Danio rerio: one gene and its partners. The protein of the gene in region 4 purifies or fractionates together with the protein of the main gene of each other region. This does not show direct contact. Links are inferred from orthologs where the notes say so. Each region holds a gene or a part of one and is shown on either strand. Other genes may lie near its edges.

What was found. Proteins that work in one complex are often made in the same cells at the same time.
Region 1: the proteins of bag5 (region 4) and dnajc7 purify together in Homo sapiens (affinity purification with mass spectrometry; 4 studies listed by BioGRID and IntAct, with this or other methods). This does not show direct contact. The link is inferred for Danio rerio from reciprocal best matches to the Homo sapiens genes BAG5 and DNAJC7.
Region 2: the proteins of bag5 (region 4) and lrrk2 purify together in Homo sapiens (co-immunoprecipitation; 3 studies listed by BioGRID and IntAct, with this or other methods). This does not show direct contact. The link is inferred for Danio rerio from reciprocal best matches to the Homo sapiens genes BAG5 and LRRK2.
Region 3: the proteins of bag5 (region 4) and dnajb4 purify together in Homo sapiens (affinity purification with mass spectrometry; 4 studies listed by BioGRID and IntAct, with this or other methods). This does not show direct contact. The link is inferred for Danio rerio from reciprocal best matches to the Homo sapiens genes BAG5 and DNAJB4.

The regions. Positions count from the first base shown.
Region 1 is NC_133178.1:16,658,674-16,664,111, forward strand, and holds the start of dnajc7 (dnaJ homolog subfamily C member 7), read left to right. Parts: upstream 1-1,999; 5' UTR 2,000-2,007; coding exon 2,008-2,171; intron 2,172-5,438. UniProt on the Homo sapiens protein: Acts as a co-chaperone regulating the molecular chaperones HSP70 and HSP90 in folding of steroid receptors, such as the glucocorticoid receptor and the progesterone receptor.
Region 2 is NC_133200.1:38,243,766-38,249,382, forward strand, and holds the start of lrrk2 (leucine-rich repeat serine/threonine-protein kinase 2), read right to left. Parts: upstream 3,440-5,617; 5' UTR 3,293-3,439; coding exon 3,085-3,292; intron 2,901-3,084; coding exon 2,821-2,900; exon of another isoform or gene 2,256-2,820; intron 2,233-2,255; coding exon of another isoform or gene 2,197-2,232; intron 1,782-2,196; coding exon 1,684-1,781; intron 1,131-1,683; coding exon 1,039-1,130; intron 941-1,038; coding exon 803-940; intron 1-802. Other genes in the region: slc2a13b (solute carrier family 2 member 13b), read left to right, coding at 5,382-5,617. UniProt on the Homo sapiens protein: Serine/threonine-protein kinase which phosphorylates a broad range of proteins involved in multiple processes such as neuronal plasticity, innate immunity, autophagy, and vesicle trafficking.
Region 3 is NC_133177.1:9,895,263-9,900,838, forward strand, and holds the start of dnajb4 (dnaJ homolog subfamily B member 4), read left to right. Parts: upstream 1-2,137; 5' UTR 2,138-2,317; coding exon 2,318-2,528; intron 2,529-2,940; coding exon 2,941-3,518; intron 3,519-5,576. UniProt on the Homo sapiens protein: Probable chaperone. Stimulates ATP hydrolysis and the folding of unfolded proteins mediated by HSPA1A/B (in vitro).
Region 4 is NC_133188.1:17,741,844-17,746,685, forward strand, and holds part of bag5 (BAG family molecular chaperone regulator 5), read right to left. Parts: intron 2,208-4,842; coding exon of another isoform or gene 2,177-2,207; exon of another isoform or gene 2,160-2,176; intron 1,839-2,159; coding exon 1,313-1,838; 3' UTR 1-1,312. UniProt on the Homo sapiens protein: Co-chaperone for HSP/HSP70 proteins. It functions as a nucleotide-exchange factor promoting the release of ADP from HSP70, thereby activating HSP70-mediated protein refolding.

The DNA.
Region 1 (5,438 bases), on a different chromosome or scaffold from region 4:
TTGGCAACACTGGAAAGCTGAAAACATGTAACTATTGTTTTCTATACTTGTTTTTCCTACTATGTAAGTTAATGGTTTTCAGCTTTCTTCAAAGTATCATTTTTTGTGTTCAACAGAAGAAACTTGTAAGGGTTTGAAACCATTTGAGGGTGAGTAAATAGTGAGCAATATTTCATTTTTGGCTGAACTATTGATTTAACTTTTCTTATGTGTATTTCTTACTGTTTATTTTGCTTGGTTGTTTTAAACTTTTTGTCCTGCCTGTGTTTCTATTTGTTATGATATACTAAATTCAAAAATATGATAATTTGTTTCCGCCTACTGCAATGCTGCCATTGCTCTGCTATGCACAGATTTGAAGTCTATCATTGAGTCTATCTATTTACTAGTGTATATGTGTTTAAATTTATATTTTTTCAGTTTTTAAATGAATTTCACTAACATCATCATGATATAAAAATAGTAATATTAAAATGTTCATATGATTTATTTACAATACAGTTTGTAAAATAATATTTTCTGTCTTTTAGTAGATATATTATACAGGAGACTTGCTTTGTTTACCAAATAAGTGCATCTAGATGGATTTGCATTGTAAACAGTAAAAAAAAGTTAATAATGTATTATTTTTATATCACATATTAAGTTTTTAGTTATGATGCTGCTAAAACCATTCTGCATAAATCCGCAGATTTTTTATTCAACAGAAGAAACTCATAAGGGTTTGGAACCACTTGAGGTTGAGTAAATAGTAAGTAATATTTCATTTTTGGCTGAACTATCGATTTACCTTTTCGTACGTGTGTTTCAAAAATACTGTAATTTGTTGAAGCCTACTGCAAAGCTACCTGCATTGACTGTCAGAGCCTCAATTAAATGATTTTCAGTTTTCTTCAAGGTATCTTCTTGTGTTCAATGGAAGAAACTCATAACAGTTTGAAAGCAGTGAGTAAAGAGTAAAATTAGATTTTTGGCTTAAATATCCCATATTTAGGCCCACATGGATTAAATTTATATTTATTCAGTTTTTAAATTAATTTCACTAATATCATTATATGGCGAAGTAGGTAGTGCTGTCGCCTCACAGCAAGAAGGTTGCTGGGTCGCTGGTTCTGGTTCTGTGTGGAGATAGCAAGTTCTCCCTGCATTTGCGTGGGTTTCCTCCGGGTGCTCCGGTTTCCTCCACAGTCCAAAGACATGAGGTACAGGTTAATTGGGTAGGCTAAATTGTCCGTAGTGTATGAGTGTGTGTGTGAATGTGTGTGTGGATGTTTCCCAGAGATGTGGCTGGAGGGGCAATTGCTGCATAAAAACTTGCTGGACAAGTTGGCAGTTCATTCCGCTGTGGCGACCCCGGATTAATAAAGGGACTAAGCCAACAAGAAAATGAATTAAATAATATCATTATAACAATAGTAATATTGAAATGTTCATATGATTTATTTACAATACAGTTTGTAAAATAATATTTTCTGTCTTTTAGTAGATATTATACAAGAGACTTGCTTTGTTTACCAAATAAGTGGATTTTTGTTGCAAACAGTAAACAATTATTTAAAAATTTAAGGTTAATTTAAGTAAAAAATTTATAATTTTTTTTATTATACATTAAGTTTTTAGTTATGATACTTTTAAAATCATTCTGCATAAATCCGCAATTTTTTTTAACAAAATGCTCAGCAGACATAGCAAAGAAATGACCACAGTTTCTGTCTGTCTGTTATTTCCAATGGTTGATTTATTGTTTGTATTTAAACTTTGTTTCCTGCGTTTCAATTTTATGACACACCTAACTGAAAAACACGGTAATTTGTCGCCACCTACTGCTACAAGGCAAAGCTGCTCCCCACTGAGCAAAATAAGGATTTATTAGGAAAGAAATTGTTTGAAAACATCGTAAGACGGACGCCGTAGTGTGTACATCAGTTAACTTTTTTAAAAAATATATATTTGAACATATTTTCTGAACACTATCTTTTGGCAGGATCTCGTATCCGTTGACCTACTATGGGCATATTGCGCACGGTGGCGGAAGGCGGAGCGGAAGGCGGTATGAAAGCCTCACATGCCTCGCTTCATCCTCCGCCTCTCTACAGCAAAATGGCGACTGTTGACTACGACTCGTCCGTGGATCCAGAGATGGACTTAACCAGCGACGAGGAGTTAGAGAGGTACCCGAAAAGCCGAATCACTTTAATACGAAGCCGGCTAGTCTGGCCTTGAGCTAGCTGTGTTTTGGCAAAGCCCCGATCGGGCACATGGGTGTACGAAGGACTCTGAGATCGAGATTGCCGCATAACTTGAAAATCAAGGGGTGTCGATGGCCTAGTGTGCCAGGCGCCTGCTTTAACATTGGGGTGCCTTGCGATTAACCTGTACTTGTTTTTGAGCACATGCTTAAATGGGCTTTGACCTTTATAGTCGATGCTAAAGTGTGCCATGCGTCGTATATGAACACGACAGATGTGCTGTGCGCCGTGACACAGTTTTAAGGGTAAGAATTAGGTTGAATGCAACGTGACATCATCACTGCTCTTAAGAACACAATGCAGACCCACTTTAGCCGGCACACATGACAGCTCAAACATCTGGTTGTCCGGCGATGACGCATTGTTGTGTTAAATTGCTTGAAATTGTGCTAGTTGCTAATTTGAGGTGACAACAATGCACATGCATGTAATGTCAGTCTATAGAGGAAATGACGTTCTGTCCATGCAGTCTCCTTGTATCATCAAAGGACAATAAGTTTCGGCTAGATTCTACATTTTGTTCATGTTGGAAAAAGCATACAACTGTAGTCGTCTTTTCATTTATTTATTTGTTTATTTAAGAATAATATCTCTTAAAGAGACAGCTCACCAAAAAGTATGAACATCTCCACACGTGTTTAAATGACACCGCACGGCAATTTAGGGGACGTTATGACAACTAATACATCGTTCAGATTTGTTTTGTTTAAAAAAAAAAAAAACGAAAGTAAAAGGAAGCTGTCAGTCTCGAACATTCTACCTGACATCTCCTTTGATAAATTGTAGTTAACATTAGTGGTGTACTGTCTCTTTAATGCATGTGACGTTTCAATTATATTTATTCTTCACTGCCACTTTTGGAAGTTGAGACATTAATTCGACCCTGAACGCATTTAGGATATGCTTTGTGATGATCAGTTTTTATCTTCTGGAACTTTCTGTCTGAGGTTTCTGTGGACGTACTGACAGACGGACGCTTGACTTGAATTATTAGCATGTTGAGTTGCAAAGATCGGTTACCGGACTGTAACTCGAGGAAGTTAACCTGCTGTGACATAACTTGTCTGACATAACTTTTGCCATCCAAAGTGTAGTTACCGGTATTACCTGACAAAGACGCACACTGATGCAGTGTAAGTGCTGGACTTGGATATTGTCATCCATTTTGGAAGCTATAGTTAGCTAATGTAATGTAATTGTGTCTCAGTTGATTTTTATTTCACTTAAAGGGAAGTTGACAAAAAAAAATAAACGTATGTGATGTAACTATCCCCATGTGGTTTTAACATTTATGTTCTTTATTTTATTAAAATACTAAAGAAGGTGTTTTGAAGAGCTGAAAACCTGTATCATTTGACTTTTGCGGTTGGGAAAACAAATGCTATGGAAGTCAATGTTTACAATTTTTCAACTTTCTTCAGAATTTTTTACAATTAGATTTTTTTTAACAATGATCGATCAACCTTTAAAGTGCTGTGCAATTAATCGAAATCGAATCACAATCGTTTTGAAACCCTACGTTCATCTAATTGCAAGAGGCTGCGATTTATATATTATTTAATTGTGACAGTCTTACTAAGCCAATTGAATGAGCACACTTTCGTTCGGCCAATCAGAAGTGCAACAGATCTATGCGGAATGCCCACATTAAAAAACAAACAAACTGGAAAGCACAGACGAGTGAGATGGTGTCGGTTGCTTGAAAAGCATTAATAGACAAATTAATATCAAAGAGAAACAGAACATCAGTAATATGAGAATATTTTTCTTTTAAAGTCCCAGACACCGATCAAAAACAGGTAATTTGTCTGACACAGAATTGTTACCAGCATGGGGAAATACAACAACCAGCACCTGAAAAAGCACCACAGGTGGCTTTATGAGGAGTGTGATTGAGCTGAAGCTTAACTAAGAAATTTAATCACAAATCAAATCAAAATTGCAAAATGTAAAAAAATATATATATATCGCAATTAGATCTTTTCCCAAATTGCACAGCCGTACTTTGCAGACATGCCTACTCTGAGCTAAGCATATTGTTTGTAAGTTTTTGATTGATTGGGCTTTTTTAGCACCTCTATGCCTCTTGTGTTATCCTAGGCCCAAGATGTTTTTTTTCTACATGGATTTTTAAATTTCTTTTTGCTATTTAGGCTTATTGGAACCTAATTAGAATAAAACCCAAGTATCATCTGGTCCGAATTTACATAAAATGCATATTTTAATGCATTAATAACACATAAAACACATTTTTTTGAACATGTATTGACTATCAGTAAACAAAACAATATCGGGGCCATTTCGGACAGTTAAAATAGTGTTTGGGTCATTTCAGATGCTGCAAAACAGTTGCAGGATGACACTATGTCTGTAACAAAATATAAAACATAAGAGCTAAAATGTGCTGCTGTCACAGGGTTCCTGGAGGTCAAAACAGGGTTTTGTTTTTTAGTATGTTAAATAATTATTTTTAGTTCAAAAAGCCAGTTTTTGTTGATAGATCTATAATCTGAAAAACTTAAAAAAAAAAAAAAAAAATTAAACTAAAATGTAAGTTTTTTTTTTTTTACACTTTTAAAATACTTAAAGGATAGTTCACCCCTAAACTGAACGTTGACATTAGCCCCTTTCACACAGTGATACCGGAAAATATCCGGAAAATTTACGGAACGACTTTACCGGTATGTTCAAAAAAGCGCTGTTCACACAGGCGAGGACGTTACGGAAATTTTCCGGAAAAGAGCATTCACACATCCATTCCAAAATACCGGTAAATTCTGACATCATTCACCACAAATGAGCTTTAAACGGCTGCGCTTGTATTTGTAAACATTTGACTAAATTACAAACTCTTTTGATGATCAATATTGTAAACAACTTTCACAGGATCATATTCGCATGTCGAGATGTTCATAATATGTGCGTGTGCTGGCGCTCACAGGCTGTTTCATGGGCACACGCAAAGCTTGAAGGTAAACAAACAACGGCTTATCATAAGCATCTTATCGATGATTATTTGCACAGTTGGCATTAAGGAGAACATATAAACGTGATCTGACTAACTTCTAGCAGCTAAATGCGTCTGGAAAAATATTCAAAGGCTTTTATTCTCACAAACCGCGCGGACGTAAATGCGTCTGACTGTTGTGATTGGCTAAAGCAGAAGTCTTACGTCAGCACGTTCTAGAC
Region 2 (5,617 bases), on a different chromosome or scaffold from region 4:
CTAGGCTAATATTTTTAACAGCGGATGACGCTCAAGGTTAGTTTTTAAACAGCAGACAGCGCTCTAGGCAAATTTTCTTGAGAGCAAACGGGGCTCTAGGTTAGTTTTTAAACAGCAGATGGAGCTCTAGGCTATTTTTAACAGCGAACGACGCTCTAGGCTAGTTTTAAAAGCAGATGGTGCTTTAGGCTACTTCTAACAGCAGACGGCGCTCTAGGCTAGTTTATAACAGCAGACAATGTTCTAGGCTAGTTTAAACAGTGAATGGCACTCTAGGCTAATATTTTTAACAGCGGATGACACTCAAGGTTAGTTTTTAAACAGCAGACGGCGCTCTAGGCTAGTTTTAGCAGCAGACGGCGCTCTAGGCTAGTTTTAGCAGCAGACAATGCTCTAGGCAAGTTTTAAAAGCAGACAACGCTCAAGGCTAGTTTTAAAAGCAGACGGCGCTCTAGGCTAGTTTTTTTTAACAGCAGACGACGCACTAGGCTACTTTTAACAGCAGATCACGCTCTAGGCTAGTATTTTTAACAGGAGATGGTGCTCTAGGCTAGTTTTAACAGCAGACAACGCTCAAGGCTAGTTTTTTTTAACAGCAGACGACGCACTAGGCTACTTTTAACAGCAGATCACGCTCTAGGCTAGTATTTTTAACAGGAGATGGTGCTCTAGTCTAGTTTGTAACTCCTTATGAGGAGGCGTGCTCATGAGGGGTCCAACCTAGTACTAGAAAAGTGTAACTAATATAGTGTCTGGTAAGTGTATATCACCATTTCAAATTTGAATAACTAATCCTGGTCACCTGTCTGCAGCAGTGGTTGTAAAGCTGTACATCCCTGTAGCTGAACTTCTTCTCTGTCACTGAATGACTTCATGGCCTCCAGAATCGAGTAAAACACATCCCATTCCTCCTCATCCAGAACCTGCATCTTGATCTCACCTGAGCCACAAACATCAAACACCTCCATCAAAACACTTTCAGAAACCGCTGCTCTTTAATGAACGAAATAGCAGGCGTTATGTAGAAACAAGACTTGCCTGACTTCAGCATCAGAGCCAGAGCTCTCAGGGCCACCATCATCATCTTGGCGTCTTTATTATGGTACTCGTGAAGCACCTTCAGAATCTGCCTATAAACAAACATGCATCAAAAAGAGTCGCTTAATTAAAAATCAGCTGCAATTTTACAAATTACGAGATGTAAACAATTACAAAGAACTTATTTTCATGCAGTTATTTGTTCATGACACTGGCCCGGATTAAATCTCTCTGATAAATCTGTAGTTTTTGCTCAATTTCATTCATTCATTCATTCACCTTTGGCTTAGGCCCCCTATTGCCACAGCGGAATGAACCGCCAACTATTACAGCATATGTTTTACACAGCGAATGCCCTTCTGGCTGCAACCCAGTACTGGGAAACATCCATACACACCTATACAATTTAGCTTACCCAATTCTCCTGTAGGGCATGTGTTTGGACTTGTGGGGGAAACCGGAGCACCTCGAGGAAACCCACACCAAGACAGGGAGAACATGCAAACTCCACACAGAAACACCAACTTAACCAGCCGGGACTCGAACCAGTGACCCTCTTGCTGTGAGGTGACAGCGCTAACCACGGAGCCTCCGTGTTGCCCTGGAATGCATGCACATGCTTAAAAATATTACACTCCAACTTACTTGTGTGCATCTATAAATTCATAGTCCACCGGTCTGGCCAGATTATCCAGAGTGTTGGGACAGATTTCCATCAGCCGACACAGCAGAGACCAGCCAACCTAGGATGAGCAGCATAATAAATCACTCGCAATTACTAACACGAAATCACCATTATTGTTCCGAGTTAAGATAATAAAAAATTAAATAAAAAAAAAAAAAAAAAAAAAAAAAAAAAAAAGATAGTTGGATCTCCTCAAATATTATTAATAATAATAATAAACTTTATTTTAGATAGCACCTTTAAAAGTAGCATCTCAAGGCACTTTACAGACAAAATGTGCAGAAGACACAAGGATGAATGCAAAAAGTTATAATAAAAATATTTTAAAAACACATTAAATAATAATATTAATTATTAAAAATATTTAATATCTGGCTATAACGAGGAGACTGACACGGAGGGATCCATTTTGCAGTATTTAAAAGACACAGTTCAATCACAAACATACAACACGCACTAAAGTGCGAACTCACATCAACAGCATTCAACATAGATCGTGGGGCTGGCGGCTGACAGACACAGAGTGATTTACCAGGCATGGATCAGTGGCAGGCGGCGTGGTTCAGAGTCCGTATAACAAGCGTGGGTCGAGGGCAGGCAGAAGGCAACTCAGAGTCAGAACCAGTCCGGGGTAATGCACAGAAGATCAGGCAGTGAATAACGCTCAGAAGTGTTGACCGTGGCTGAACAAGACTTCGCAATGAACTGGTGTTTGAGTGTGGCTTATATAGGGAGCGCGGATCGTTAACGGGATTCAGATCAGGTGTGTGCACAATTAGTCTAGGTGGATGATGTAATGCTAGAAGTCCGGGGATGGCGGCCTCTGCTGGCCAGCGAGGGGAATGACTGGGACCGAGTCGGTGACACTGGCTTTTGTTTTACTGCGAACCGAATCTTTTCTATTCTAAGAGCATGTAATAAAATCAAAAACCCTGCTGCTGACTTATAATTCATATTTTTTTTTAATTATTAATAAAGCCATTCCCTTTCAGTTCCCTTCCAGTTTCAATATGAATAAGAGCAGTGTGAACATTCTTCTCAATATCTCTTTTTGTTTAACAAAATAAAAGTCACATGTTTTGAAGTGGCTACAGTACCTGCTGAACTTTGATGCTGGCGCTTTCGCTGCATTTCAGCAACACAGGCACATGGACATTTTGATCCGCAAACAGCTCAACTGCAGGACAAAAGAAGAACACAAGTCTAAAAATAACCCAGCAGATGTCTCGCTGGGGAAAAAAAGGCACACACACACCAATTGAGGTCTCTGAATGTTGCATTGCTGTCAATATGACTGTATCCATGCATTATACGCATCATGAAATGTAAATAAAGCACATTTTGGAGTGGTCAGGACTCACCACAGTGCTCAGTATGGGACAGGAACAGGAGATCCTCTATGATCTGCACCATTGTCCCCAGCTGCTTCCCATCCTGAAGATTCAACCTCACCAGTAGCTTCTTCAGTCTGATGGACAACTCCTCTATTTCTGCCATGATCTCCGAGTTTCTGACATCAAACTTGAACTTAAAGGCACTTTCTGATCCTCCATGTTGACACATTAACATCCCCGCAGATTTCACACAGAGGCTCTGCCATATTTATGCCGTCCTGACTAACTAATATTGAGTTCCTGGTGTGATACTCTGCGGTTTAGGGAAGAAATCTCGGTCATGTTGGCGCCTGTGTAGTCCAGGCTGCGTTATGAATCATATGACTGCAAAACAATTCAACAACTTCCTGTTTGAGCGCAACAGTGAAAGCAAAGACACACGGATCAATACAAACACTCTGAAACGAGATTAGCTGGTAAGTTTACTGAGAGACAGCACAAATATTTGCGCATTTTATGTCATTTTATGTTCATATGTGATGAGGCTAGTTCGTTTTTTGTAGCATGTTAGCATCGCTGTGTACAGTAGATGTGTACGCGCTCATATCATGTAGGAAGTTGTTGATGTTTGTTTTATGTGTGCTAATATAAGAGTCTGAATAAAAAATAAAACATGAGGGGATTTTAAAACATTATGTAGTTCGCGACCTTATTTAGATGGAGTTTTGTATAAACATACTAGATATTTTGCGATTAATTTATTTATTTTTAACGTGTAATGATTGAAGTTTAAAGTAAAAAGGTCAGATTTCTTACTGAATCGGGTCGTTCGTAAATAATAAAATATAGTAATAGAAAAATAAGTAGTTAATAACTTATACATCGACCGGCCACTTTATTAGGTACACCACTAGCTTGCTTATTGCTGTCAGAAGTGCTTTGCTGGCTAATATTTAACATGCTGATGGAAACATTTTCATGCTGATGGTTATTTTGCTGGAAGTAAACACCAAAAGATGAACAGCAAGAAGAATACCAAGATTGTCCGCTGTATTTAAGCATTTTCCATTCATTTTGTTTCCCTGGAAATTATATTCACTCACTGGCCACTTTATTAGGTACACCTCACTAGTACCGGGTTGGCCCCCTTTTGCCCTCAGAACCCCCTTAATCGTTCGTGGCATAGATGAGGTGACATTGAGGCCAAATTCTGAGCCGAGCATCCGGATGTGTCAGCAGAAATGGAGACTCATCAGAGCAGGCAACGTTTCTCCAATCTTCTATTGTGCAGTTTTGGTGAGTCTGTGTGAATTGTAGCCTCAGTTTCCTGTTCTTAGCTGACAGGAGCGGCACCCGGTGTGCTCTTCTGCTGCTGTAGCCCATCCGCCTCAAGGTTGGCCGTGTTGTGTGTTCAGAGATGCTCTTCTGCAGAGCTCGGTTGTAACGAGTGCTTATTTGAGTTACTGTTGCCTTTCTATCAGCTGGAACCAGTCTGGCCATTCTCCTCTGACCTCCGGCATCAACAAGGCATTTGCACCCACAGAACTGCCGCTCACTGGATATTTCCTCTTTGTCGGAGCATTCTCTGTAAACCCTAGAGATGGTTGTGTGTGAAAAACCCAGTACATCAGCAGTTTCTGAAATACTCAGACCAGCCCATCTGGCACCAACAACCATTTCACGTTTAAAGTCACTTAAATTCTTCCCCATTCTGATGCTTGATTTGAACTGCAGCAGATCGTCTTGACCGTGTCTACACATCTAAATGCATTGAGTTGCTGCAATGTGATTGGCTGATTAGAAATTTGTGTTAACAAGCAGTTGGACAGGTGTACCTAATAAAGTGGCCGGTGAATGTATAACATACATTTAACATAACAGTAAACAGAATCTATTAATAATGTAAAATAATGCTTAAATATGACATAAATATATGACATTTGATTCAGTTAACCCTATTAAACTTTCTAAAACACTAGCAGAGTTGACATGTTTCAGCATGTGGTGCTTTAGCTCAAGATAACTCAAACGTGGCCAATTAAAACAGACATTTAGTTATGCTTATGGACAGTTCACTCAAGGAAATTAAATCTGTCGTCTGTATTTACTCTCCCTTAGCTTGTTCCAAATTTATACTATGGAAGTCAATGCCTACTAAGTAGTTTTAACAGCACCTGACCTGACGTATTGACACAGTATTCATGCACTAAGAGTTTAAGGTGTGTGCACACTGCCAGCGTGCTCTGGTTTATGGCTGCAATCATGTGATGATCTCAAGATGTTGTCTTTGTGATTCAGGACACAATGTGCATGATCTCTGGAGGATGGAGGATCAGAGAGCGTACGCTAGAGTTGAAGACGAGAGCACTTTAATAAAGACAGCATCAAAGCGTGACCATGAACTCCAGCCGGGCCCTCCGTGTTTCGTCTACACGCTGGCCTTCTTCTCGGCTCTGGGAGGATTTCTGTTCGGCTATGACACCGGAGTGGTTTCCGGAGCCATGCTGCTCCTCAAGAGGGAGAAGAAGCTCAGTTCTGTGTGGCAGGAGCTGCTGGTTTC
Region 3 (5,576 bases), on a different chromosome or scaffold from region 4:
TGAGATCTTATTCTTTCGGTCATGATCCAAAGCTCATGACCATAGGTGAGAGTAGGAATGTAGATTGACCGGTAAATCGACTGGCTCTTGGGACATACTAATATTATTCTAAATAAATACTTTTTTGAAGAAAGCTGCAAACCTGTAACCATTTATATAGAAAAACAAATACAATGGAAGTCAATGGTTACAGGTTTGCAGCTTTCTTCAAAATATTGTCTTTTGCATTAAAAAGAAAAAAGAAAGTCAAGCAGGATTAGAACAAGTTAAGGTGTAAGTAAATGTTTACATGTAACATTTAAGGAATATAGTTTATTTTACCCCTTGTGCACTGTTCAAAAACTACCCTTTTGTTATGTTAGGGATGAAAACATCAGCTGTAATTAAACTGCTGTAAAAATTGAATCTGATAAATATTTCTTAATTTTTTTTGCATAAATCTATTAATCAAACTCTTTGCTGATAAAAAAATGTTAAGAAAATGACAAGATTTTAATTCTTTAATTGGCACATTTTAAATGATTTCACTTATTGGTGAAAAAACACACAAAATGACGTATTTTTTAATATAAAAAGTAATTTTTTAACCTTTTATCACAGTCTTGGACACCAACGTTGGCTTTGATGCATTGTTGAATTTTCATTTTTTTCCCTAATTTAGTTTCCTAATTTACTGTTGGTGGCTGTTGTTGCCCCGTTGACTTCCATTATAACCACATTTGATGAAGCATAAGCACACAGTCTTTGTTTATGTTTACTTCATGTAGTTCTGAGAGCTAAGATGCATTATTAGATTTTCTCAGACACATCTCACACTCTCATAGACACACATACACACACTGTAATATGATGTTATACTCCATATAAAATCCAGAAACTAAGCTTTTTTTTTGCACAGGCAAAAACATCTAAAGGGTTAATGGTGTCAACTGATGATCAACAGTAAAAATTACCAATTTTACCACCAACAATCAAAAAGGTATGATTATATGGTGTCGTGGTTTTGTAATCCAAAAAATGTGACAACAATAGTAAATTAATGAGAAAATAAATTCAAATTAATCAAAAACAATGTAAATTTGGATCAAAGGCAATGTTGTGTCACATGTCTAAGACTTTGATAAAAGGTTAAAAAAATACAACCCACAGTGACTTTTTATATTGAAAATATGTAATTTTGTGTGTTTTTTTTTCAGCAAATCAGTGACATTATTTATGAATTTGGAAATTAAATGGTTCAAATGCTGTAATTTTCTAGGCAATTTAGTAGTTTTGATCGGGACTGTGATCCAGAAGGGTTGATTTTGAGATTTATACAAAACTAAATTTGAAAAAATTATTATTTCTGATCCTTATTAATTCATTCTTTTTCCTTTCGGCTTCGTCCTTTTATTAATCCAAGGTCGCCACCACCGAATGAACCACCAACTTATCCAGCACATGTTGTACGCAAGTAACGCAACCCATCTCTGGGAATCAACCATTTAAACACTCAATCTCACTCATAAACTACAGACAATTTAGCTTACCCAATAAGTCACCTGTATACCACATGTCTTTGGACTGTGCACTCGGAGGAAGCCCACGCGAACGCAGGGAGAACATGCAAACTCCACACAGAAACGCCAGCTGACCTTCTTGCTGTGAGGTGACAGCACTACCTACCAACACTACTCGCCATCTCATTATTATTTATATTTATTTTTTTTCTAGATTGTTATTTATTAATTTTTAGATTGTCACATTATTGACTAAAAAAATATAAGATAAATAAATAAATAAATAAATAAAAGAATATTTTTTAAATTCTAATTGTTCAAGTAACTTTTTAAATAAAGATTGTACACAGTTTTCAAGTGTAAGATAGATAGATAGATAGATAGATAGATAGATAGATAGATAGATAGATAGATAGATAGATAGATAGATAGATAGATAGATAGATAGATAGATAGATAGATAGATAGATAGATAGATAGATAGATAGATAGATAGAGAACGTTGCGCTCCTGGTTGAGACTGTATTTGAAAATGGGAAATGACGTGCCTCAGCTATTACGTTCTAGAAAGCGCTCTGAATCCGGAGCTGCAATGGTACAGGGGAGGGAGGAATGGCTATTTAAAGAGGGTAAAATAACACAAGATCTTTAGTGCTGAGTAACCGCCTCCAAACAGACACAAAGAGATCAACTGATCATCTGTATCACGGTTTAAAGAGGCAGGATTTGACAGTGTAGCGCTCTTATTCGCCGTCTTCTTTATCAACCGACAGTCGAATCCTCGGGCAGCGGCAGCAGCGCGGTCTGCATAGTGGAAAATGGGCAAAGATTATTACAAAATACTGGGAATCACGAAAGGAGCATCAGACGACGATATCAAGAAGGCGTACAGAAAGCAGGCTTTGAAATGGCATCCTGACAAGAACAAGGCAGCCAACGCTGAAGAGAAATTCAAGGAGGTCGCAGAGGCTTATGAAGTTCTCAGCGATCCAAAGAAACGAGAAATATACGACCAGTATGGAGAAGAAGGTATGTTCTTCCTTCATATCAGTAATACCCATGGTAACAAAGAACATATTCTCTATATCTACCCAACTCATACTGTAAAATATGTCAGATAATGTAGGCTTTAGGCTATACAAAAATATATACATTGCGTTATAAGCTGACCATATGGTTATGTTTTTATTTTAGTCCTCATCATTGCTCAACCAAAAGGCTAAATCTTTTCATGTAGAAACAATGCTCCCTGCAAGCCTAAATGTCAAAATGGATATGTCGCTGCTGTCTTATTCTAATTATAAATAGACATGGTATTATATGTGGTGTGTTTACTAGATAACTGCGCTGGGTTGCATAGCAATGACAGCATGTGTTTGTGGCCTAAATCTTCCTCAGTCTATTTTTTCGAAAATAAAATGAGTTTTTTCTATATTATTAGGTCTTAAAGGAGGTGGAGGAGCGTCCGACGGCCCAGGTGGCAACTTCACCTACACCTTCCATGGAGACCCTCACGCGACATTCGCCACGTTTTTCGGAGGAGCCAGTCCTTTTGAGGTATTTTTTGGCAGGAAAGTCAACGGACGAGATGAGGACGACATGGAAGTGGACGGAAACGATCCTTTTGGTTCCTTTACGAGTTTTAACATAAATGGATTTCCACGCGAACGGCACGTAGGTCAAGGTGGCCCGCCACGCAGGAAGCAAGACCCGGCTATCCACCACGAGCTCCGGGTGTCACTTGAGGAGGTTTTTCACGGAAGCACCAAACGCATGAAAATCTCACGGAAGCGCTTAAATCCGGATGGTCGAACCTTGAGAACCGAGGACAAAATCCTCACTATTGAGATAAAGCGTGGCTGGAAAGAGGGAACCAAAATCACATTTCCACGGGAGGGTGACGAAACGCCTAATACTATCCCTGCCGATATTGTGTTTGTCATTAAAGATAAGCCTCACGGCCACTTTCGACGAGAGGGGTCTGATATTGTGTATCCAGTCCGGGTCAGTCTGCGCCAGGTGAGAACCATCCATTCATCCATCCATCCATCCATCCATCCATCCAACCAACCATCCTTCCATGCATCCATCCATCCATCCATCCAACCAACCATCCTTCCATGCATCCATCCATCCATCCATCCATCCATCCATCCATCCATCCATCCATCCATCCATCCATCCATCCATCCATCTATCTATCTATCTATCTATCTATCTATCTATCTATCTATCTATCTATCTATCTATCTATCTATCTATCTATCTATCTATCAATGGTGGTGCTGAGTAGAATTATCAGGTCATCAATATCAAATATTATCAATATTTTAATTTCAAAATGCACATCAGTTTCAGTATTTTATGTTGATTGTAATGTTCAGAATATGTTATAAGTTTTATTACAGTTAATTTATTTAATATTTTATGTCTCTTAAAGTCCATTACTGCATTCATCCATCTGAACTAAAAGGTTGCTTGTTAAATATAACTTTAATAAATATTATATATATATATATATATATATATATATATATATATATATATATATATATATATATATATATATTATTAAAGTATATGATGATTGATTTCACTTCCAAATATATATTGTTTCGTACAATAATATATAGTATGCTGCCATCTGTAAAAAAAAAAATAATTTTATGGTTTATTTATTTGAAAAGACTATTTCATTTACTTATTTAAAGTAACGACTGTAAAATTACAGAGATTTACTGTAAAACAACAGGTTGAATTACAGAAATTTACCAAAAATTTACATTTAAGGAAATTTCTTTAATTTAACAGCCGTTATTTTACTTTTTTTTTCCAGCTGCCGTAAAATCACAGATTTTTTTTACTGTGTATATATATTGTATACAGTTGAAGTCAGAATTATTACCCCCTCGATTATTAGCCCCCATTTTAATTTTTTTCCCACAATTTCTGTTTAACAAAGAGAAGATTTTTTTCAACACATTTCTAAACATAACAGTTTTAATAACTAATTTATAATATTGGATTTATTTTATCTTTGCCATGATGACAGTAAATAATATTCGACTAGATATTTTTCAAGACACTTCTATACAGCTAAAAGTGACATTAAAAGGCTTAACTAGGTTAATAAAGTTAACTAGGCAGGTTAAGGTAATTAGGCAAGTTATTGTATTACGATGGTTTGTTCTGTAGACTATTGAAAAAAATTATAGCTAAAAGGGCCTAATAATTTTGACCTTAAAATGTGTTTTTTTTTTTTGTGTTTTGTTTTTTTTAAAAAGAAACAGCTTTTGTCCTTGCCAAAATAAAACAAATAAGACTTTCTCCAGAAGAAAAAATATCATCAGAATTATTGTGAAAATTTCCTTGCTCTGTTTAACATCATTTGGGAAATACTTAAAAAAGAAAAAAAAAAATCAAAGGAGGGCTAATAAGTCTGTCAAATGTACATGTATAGTATCTCGCATTAAATGCAGAAGTAAAAGTTTCTGTCATATATGGTATAAAGTTTAACTTAAATCACTTTATTCTAACTGTATTTTATTTTTTAAATTAAATATTAACTGTAACTTTTAAAATTACAGTTTCATTTAAAATTACTTACACTTTTAATGTGTCTATGACTTTCGATAGATCTGTGCAAAAGTTACAGTTTTAAAAATTGTTGCCAGCTAAAAATGTTCAAATCTTTGTTTGAAATCTTCACTCTTACATAATGCAGTTTGGACAGCAAGTAATACGAGCTGTGTTGAGTTGCCAGAAAAGGCGCTCGCCCACTTAAACTGTTAGAGACCATCAAGATGTACTCGCACGACCGAATCATTAACACACTGTTCTGTAAATGTCAATTCTGTACATAGAGCACCAAACCCATCTAACAAATGAAATATGCTTTTAAGCTTGGTGTTAAAAGGGGAAAAGGTGGATATATTTTTGCAAGCAGCAACTGCAGTATAATGAGCTAGAAAGGTTGCTGGATATTTGCTTGCGTTGCTGTCATAATAGAAGGTTACTGTCAAATTGTCATGCTGTCACTTTGATGCCTTTTCTCATTCTTGTCATTTAGGGAAATTG
Region 4 (4,842 bases):
AAGAAAAACCAATGAAGAAAAAAAAAAAGAAACGTTGTGATCTAGTTTCTATTTTTTGACCTCCATATCCATACTGAAATGAAACGTCCCCAAAGACAATACATCATTGCAATTTTTGATTCCCCATCCACTTTGAAATTTGACAAAACTGCAGGAATGGTTCAAATGTTTCTCTCGCATGCTTTTTCACAGTTGTCTTCTTTAAAAGACAAGTGTGTAAATTCATGTTGAAAACAATTCTTTCTTTCCTGGCTTGAACACCCTAAAATAAAAGCCATTGTGACAGAAAATACACACTTCACTTTTAAACTGACATTGCAAAGCAGTGTTTATTTCAATGCAATGTCCTTAAATTAAACTGGGGGTTATATGTAGAAGTTGCTTGAAAACCAAAAATAATGTTCCAACATGTGGGGTCAGTCGTTGTTTATATGCAGGGTTTATATATGAAGAGCTCGGGTTCTAACTGCAGCTATGAACACTAAGCTTGTCTGACCTTTTAAAGTGATGGTTCACCCAAAACTGAAAACTGTTCTTTTTCTTGTTGTAAATATTGTTGCAAGTGTTTTCTTTTTTAACAGTTGATTGCAAAAGAAATCATTTTGAAAAAAAATATATAATAATCTGGATATTCTCTTACCATTGACTATAAGTTCTATTATTTGTTTTTTCCACTATGGAATTTGATGGTTTTAGGTTTTCAGCTGTCAAAATATTGTCTTTAGTGTTCAAAAACCAGAGGAAACTTTTGTTTGGGTGTGTTTGGAATGGTGAGTAAATCTTAATTTTTGGGTGAACTATCACTGTAATTATCTGGAAATGGCCTCATTATGAGTATGTTGTGGTCAAATCAGGGAATGATGTGTTACCAAATGGGTTATAGTTGACAAGACTGAAGCGCTGACGTGTTCACACTGCGAAAAAGACAACATGTGCTCCACACAGGCATGTGGTAAAGCAGAAAGCAGATTTTGGCAGCAGAACAGGGTTTAGCACCACACCACACCAACCAACAGCTCAGATTCAACCAAAAAGATCATGGATTATTGTCAGGAAAACAAAAGCTTCATATGCAGTAGTAACTGCAACTCCTGCCAGAAGATGGCTGTTTTCAGGGACCAGTAAAGGGCCAACAAAAGCAGCAGGTACAGTGCATCATGGGTAACAGTGTCGCTACCCATGGCGATACACAGTCTTTTATATACAAATTAAAAATTTCACCCATGGCCTGTATGGTTGCCAAGGCCGTGCTAGTCCTAATATGTTGCACATTTGCTGATCTTTAATCAGGGCAATCCAGTGTCTTATCCACTCAGTACTCCCACTCATCCGTCTTCATATCCAGATAACTAAGAATATTCTGGGCATGTTTAACAGCTTGCTTACGGGCAGTTTTGGTCCCCTGGTCACCCTGAGGGTCCACAGCGTCAAGAGCCAGAAGTTGTTTGGTCAGTAGCTCCTCCAACACCATGTAGCTCTTGTCGGCCCTTTTGCCATCGAAGCCCAACACCTGGGCCTGCAGATCACACAAACTGCCCAGCACTCGCCACACGGCTGCATGAGGTGGAGGTTCATCTGGCCCTGGATTACGTCGTCCTAGTGCTTCCCAGAGGTCTAGGAAGGTGATGAGCGCCTGCACCTCTAGCACAGCCCTGCGTCGCGCCTCCCGGATGCAGGGATTTCGGCCTGTATTTACCTGGTCCAGATGGTTAAGGAGACCCTGCAGCTCTATTCCCTGTCCAGAAGCTCCATGCCGAAGCACCTCTTCTCGCAGCACTGACACACGACCCCTGATAGCCTCAATTTCACGAATAGAGTCATTCTGTGCTAGATCATACCTGAAAGAAAAAAAATTGTAAGTATATTATTGGAAAAAAGATGCTTTTTAATTCATCCAAGTAAATAAATTTTATTCAAATATATACATGCACCACAATTACTCCATAACTACTCAAAAGTTTGAAATAACTTCCTTTTGTTATTTGATTAGGCTTTTTATCATAAAATGAAACTGTATAAATGCTACTGTATGTTAAGAATTGCATTATAAACATATTCTTTATTCTTATTGTAATACTAAGAAGGTTTACATAGCACATAATAAATAGCTGATGTAATCCAGGTCCCCGTATGAATAAAATAAATATAACAAGAATTGTTAGTGCTCAGTGCTCACCTATTTAAGGTGGTCAAGAGTGCTTAACGTGCTGCAATTTAAGAAAACACATGCAAAAACAAAAAACATTAGCAATTAAGAAAAGACACAAGCTGCAAATCCTCAAAGCAAAGACAGTAAAAAACACGCTGCCGTTTTTCACAACACAAACAATTAATGAAATCGAGCTGCCTTTTCTCACAACACTTCCAAAAAGAACGAAACACAATGAAAATGTTTCAAGGGTACCGAAAAACGTGACAAACATAACTGTATACTCAGTGAAGTTGTAAGTGATCTTTGAAAGGGGAGTTTTTTGTTTGTTTATATTAACATCTTGATTCCCTTGTTTTTTGCATTTTATTAGCCTAAATAACCAGAACCTAAATAGCCAGGTCCCCTTAAAACATTTTCACTGTGTTCCGACCTATTTGAAAGTGTTAAAAAGAAAATGCAGCACATTTTATTCATTTATTTGCATTGTGGGAAAATGCAGCCCTATTTTTATGTGTTTGCGTTGTGAGGATTTGCAGCACGTTTGCTGTCAAACAGATGAAGATCTTTTCTAAATTTGCTGGCATGTTTGTGTATTTGCATGAGTTTTCTTAAATTGCAGCACATTAAGCTTTCTCTGCCACCATACTTTTTTTTCTAAAAATTAGGAACAAATAAAAATAAAACAAAAAAAAGTGTTTTAAAACAAAATTTGCAAATCCATGTACAAATCACATAAGGCTTCTATTTCATATTAATGACATTATGCTTACTTCGTTACAAAATTTTAGACTTCAGTGTCACAGACTTTTTTATAATATAAAAATCTGAATTATTAAACCTACTTTAAAATTATTTTCTTTTGTAAATATTTCCCAAATGATGTTTAACAGAGCAAGGAAATTTTCACAGTACCATATGTCTGATAGTATATTTTCTTCTGGAGAAAGTCTTATTTGTTTTATTTCAGTGGGAATAATACTAATTACCCTGACCTGCCTAGTTAACCTAATTAACCTAGTTAAGCCTTTAAATGTCACTTTAAGCTGTATAGAAGTATCCTGTAAAATATCCAGTAAAATATTATTTATTGTCATCATGGCAAAGATAAAATAAACCAGTCATTAGAGATGATTTATTAAAACTATTATGCTTAGAAATGTGTTAAAAAAATCGTATTCCCGTTGAACAAAAATTGGAGAAAAAAATAAACTGGGGGGCTAATAATTCAGGGGGTTTAATAATTCTGATTTTTGATTGCGTATGTGCGTGTGTGCGTGGTTCAATGCAGTCCCATAGCTTTAGAAATGGATTTTTAACCTTTTCCAGACTGGTAGATCTCAATAAAAATCTTTTGGATCTTGGCATGATGTCTAGCTTTTGAGGATCTTTTAGACTACTTTACTTTGTCTTCACTTTTTAGGTCCTATTTAAGCTATTTTTTAAATTGTAAACAGGTGTGGCAGTAACAAGTTCTGGGCGTGGCAAGAGAAATTGAACTTTTGTTGTGATAAATTAGCATTAAGTTATCTTTAAATCTTATCTCCCTTAATGATAAAAATCTTTATTAAAAAAATGTGTGATGTGTTTAATTGTGCTATCTTTGACTAACATTTAAAGGACACCTATGGTGAAAAATCTACTTTTCAAGCTGTTTGGACAGACATGTGTGTAGGTATAGTGTATTGACCATCATATTGGGATGATATAAACACACACAGTCCTTTTTTTTCAATTTAACAACATAAAAAAGGTTGAACCAATTGGAGTGGTTTTCAGAGCAACCGCAACTTGACGTAGGAGTGCAGTCCCCCAGCCCAGTTTGTTGTTTCACGTCTGCCATTTTCAGCGTGTGAGTCAAAGCGATGTCACTAAAGGAACACCCTTGCTCTATTTTTATATGTAAGGCTCATTAGGCTCAACACAAGATGAACATACACCACTTGATCGCTCTAATCAGAATTATTGTTTGTAACTTTAGGTAGGTTTGCAAATATGAGTACTTTTCATTGTGTCTACCTTAAACTGGAAAGTGCGAGCACGTTGCCTCAGGTGCACGTCTCTTCATTGGAAATAAAATAACAAACTTGCCTGCAGGAAGCACACCATAAGCGCCGCTCTGCGTGGCCCGACACTGAGCATGCATTTTAGAATTCTAAACATAGGTTTCTATCAGGGTACACACAACGGCGCTTCAAGTCGACGGCTGGCCGATTGGGCACAATTCATGCTTCTGCCGCGTCACAGAGCGTCATCTAAACAATTAAATTTAAATAACATCTGAATGTGTGTGTCTGGTGTGCCGTGTCGCGGCTCCGAGCGGCGCATCTGGTGCCTCAATCAAAGTTAATTCAGTGTGCTTGGTTATTAGTCTCAGTGTACAAGCTCGGCACTTTAAACTAGCACACAGTTGGCTGTAAAACAATACAAAGTTACAAATGATTTTGTACTCTCTGCTTGGTCTGTGTCCGAGTCGTACATGTACAGCCGAATGCTGGTCCTCTCACTCGTTGCTTCTCTCTTTCTGCCTTTCTGTTGCCAAACACAGAGTGGGGGAGCTCTTGGCTCCGCCTCCTTGTTAACTTGGGAGGGTAGTCGAAACAGATTTTCATGTGAAGCAAAACACCCCTAAAACAGCAAGCTGTGTACACGTCCCCAAAATAACACTTTTTAACACTTTATAATAAAAATCT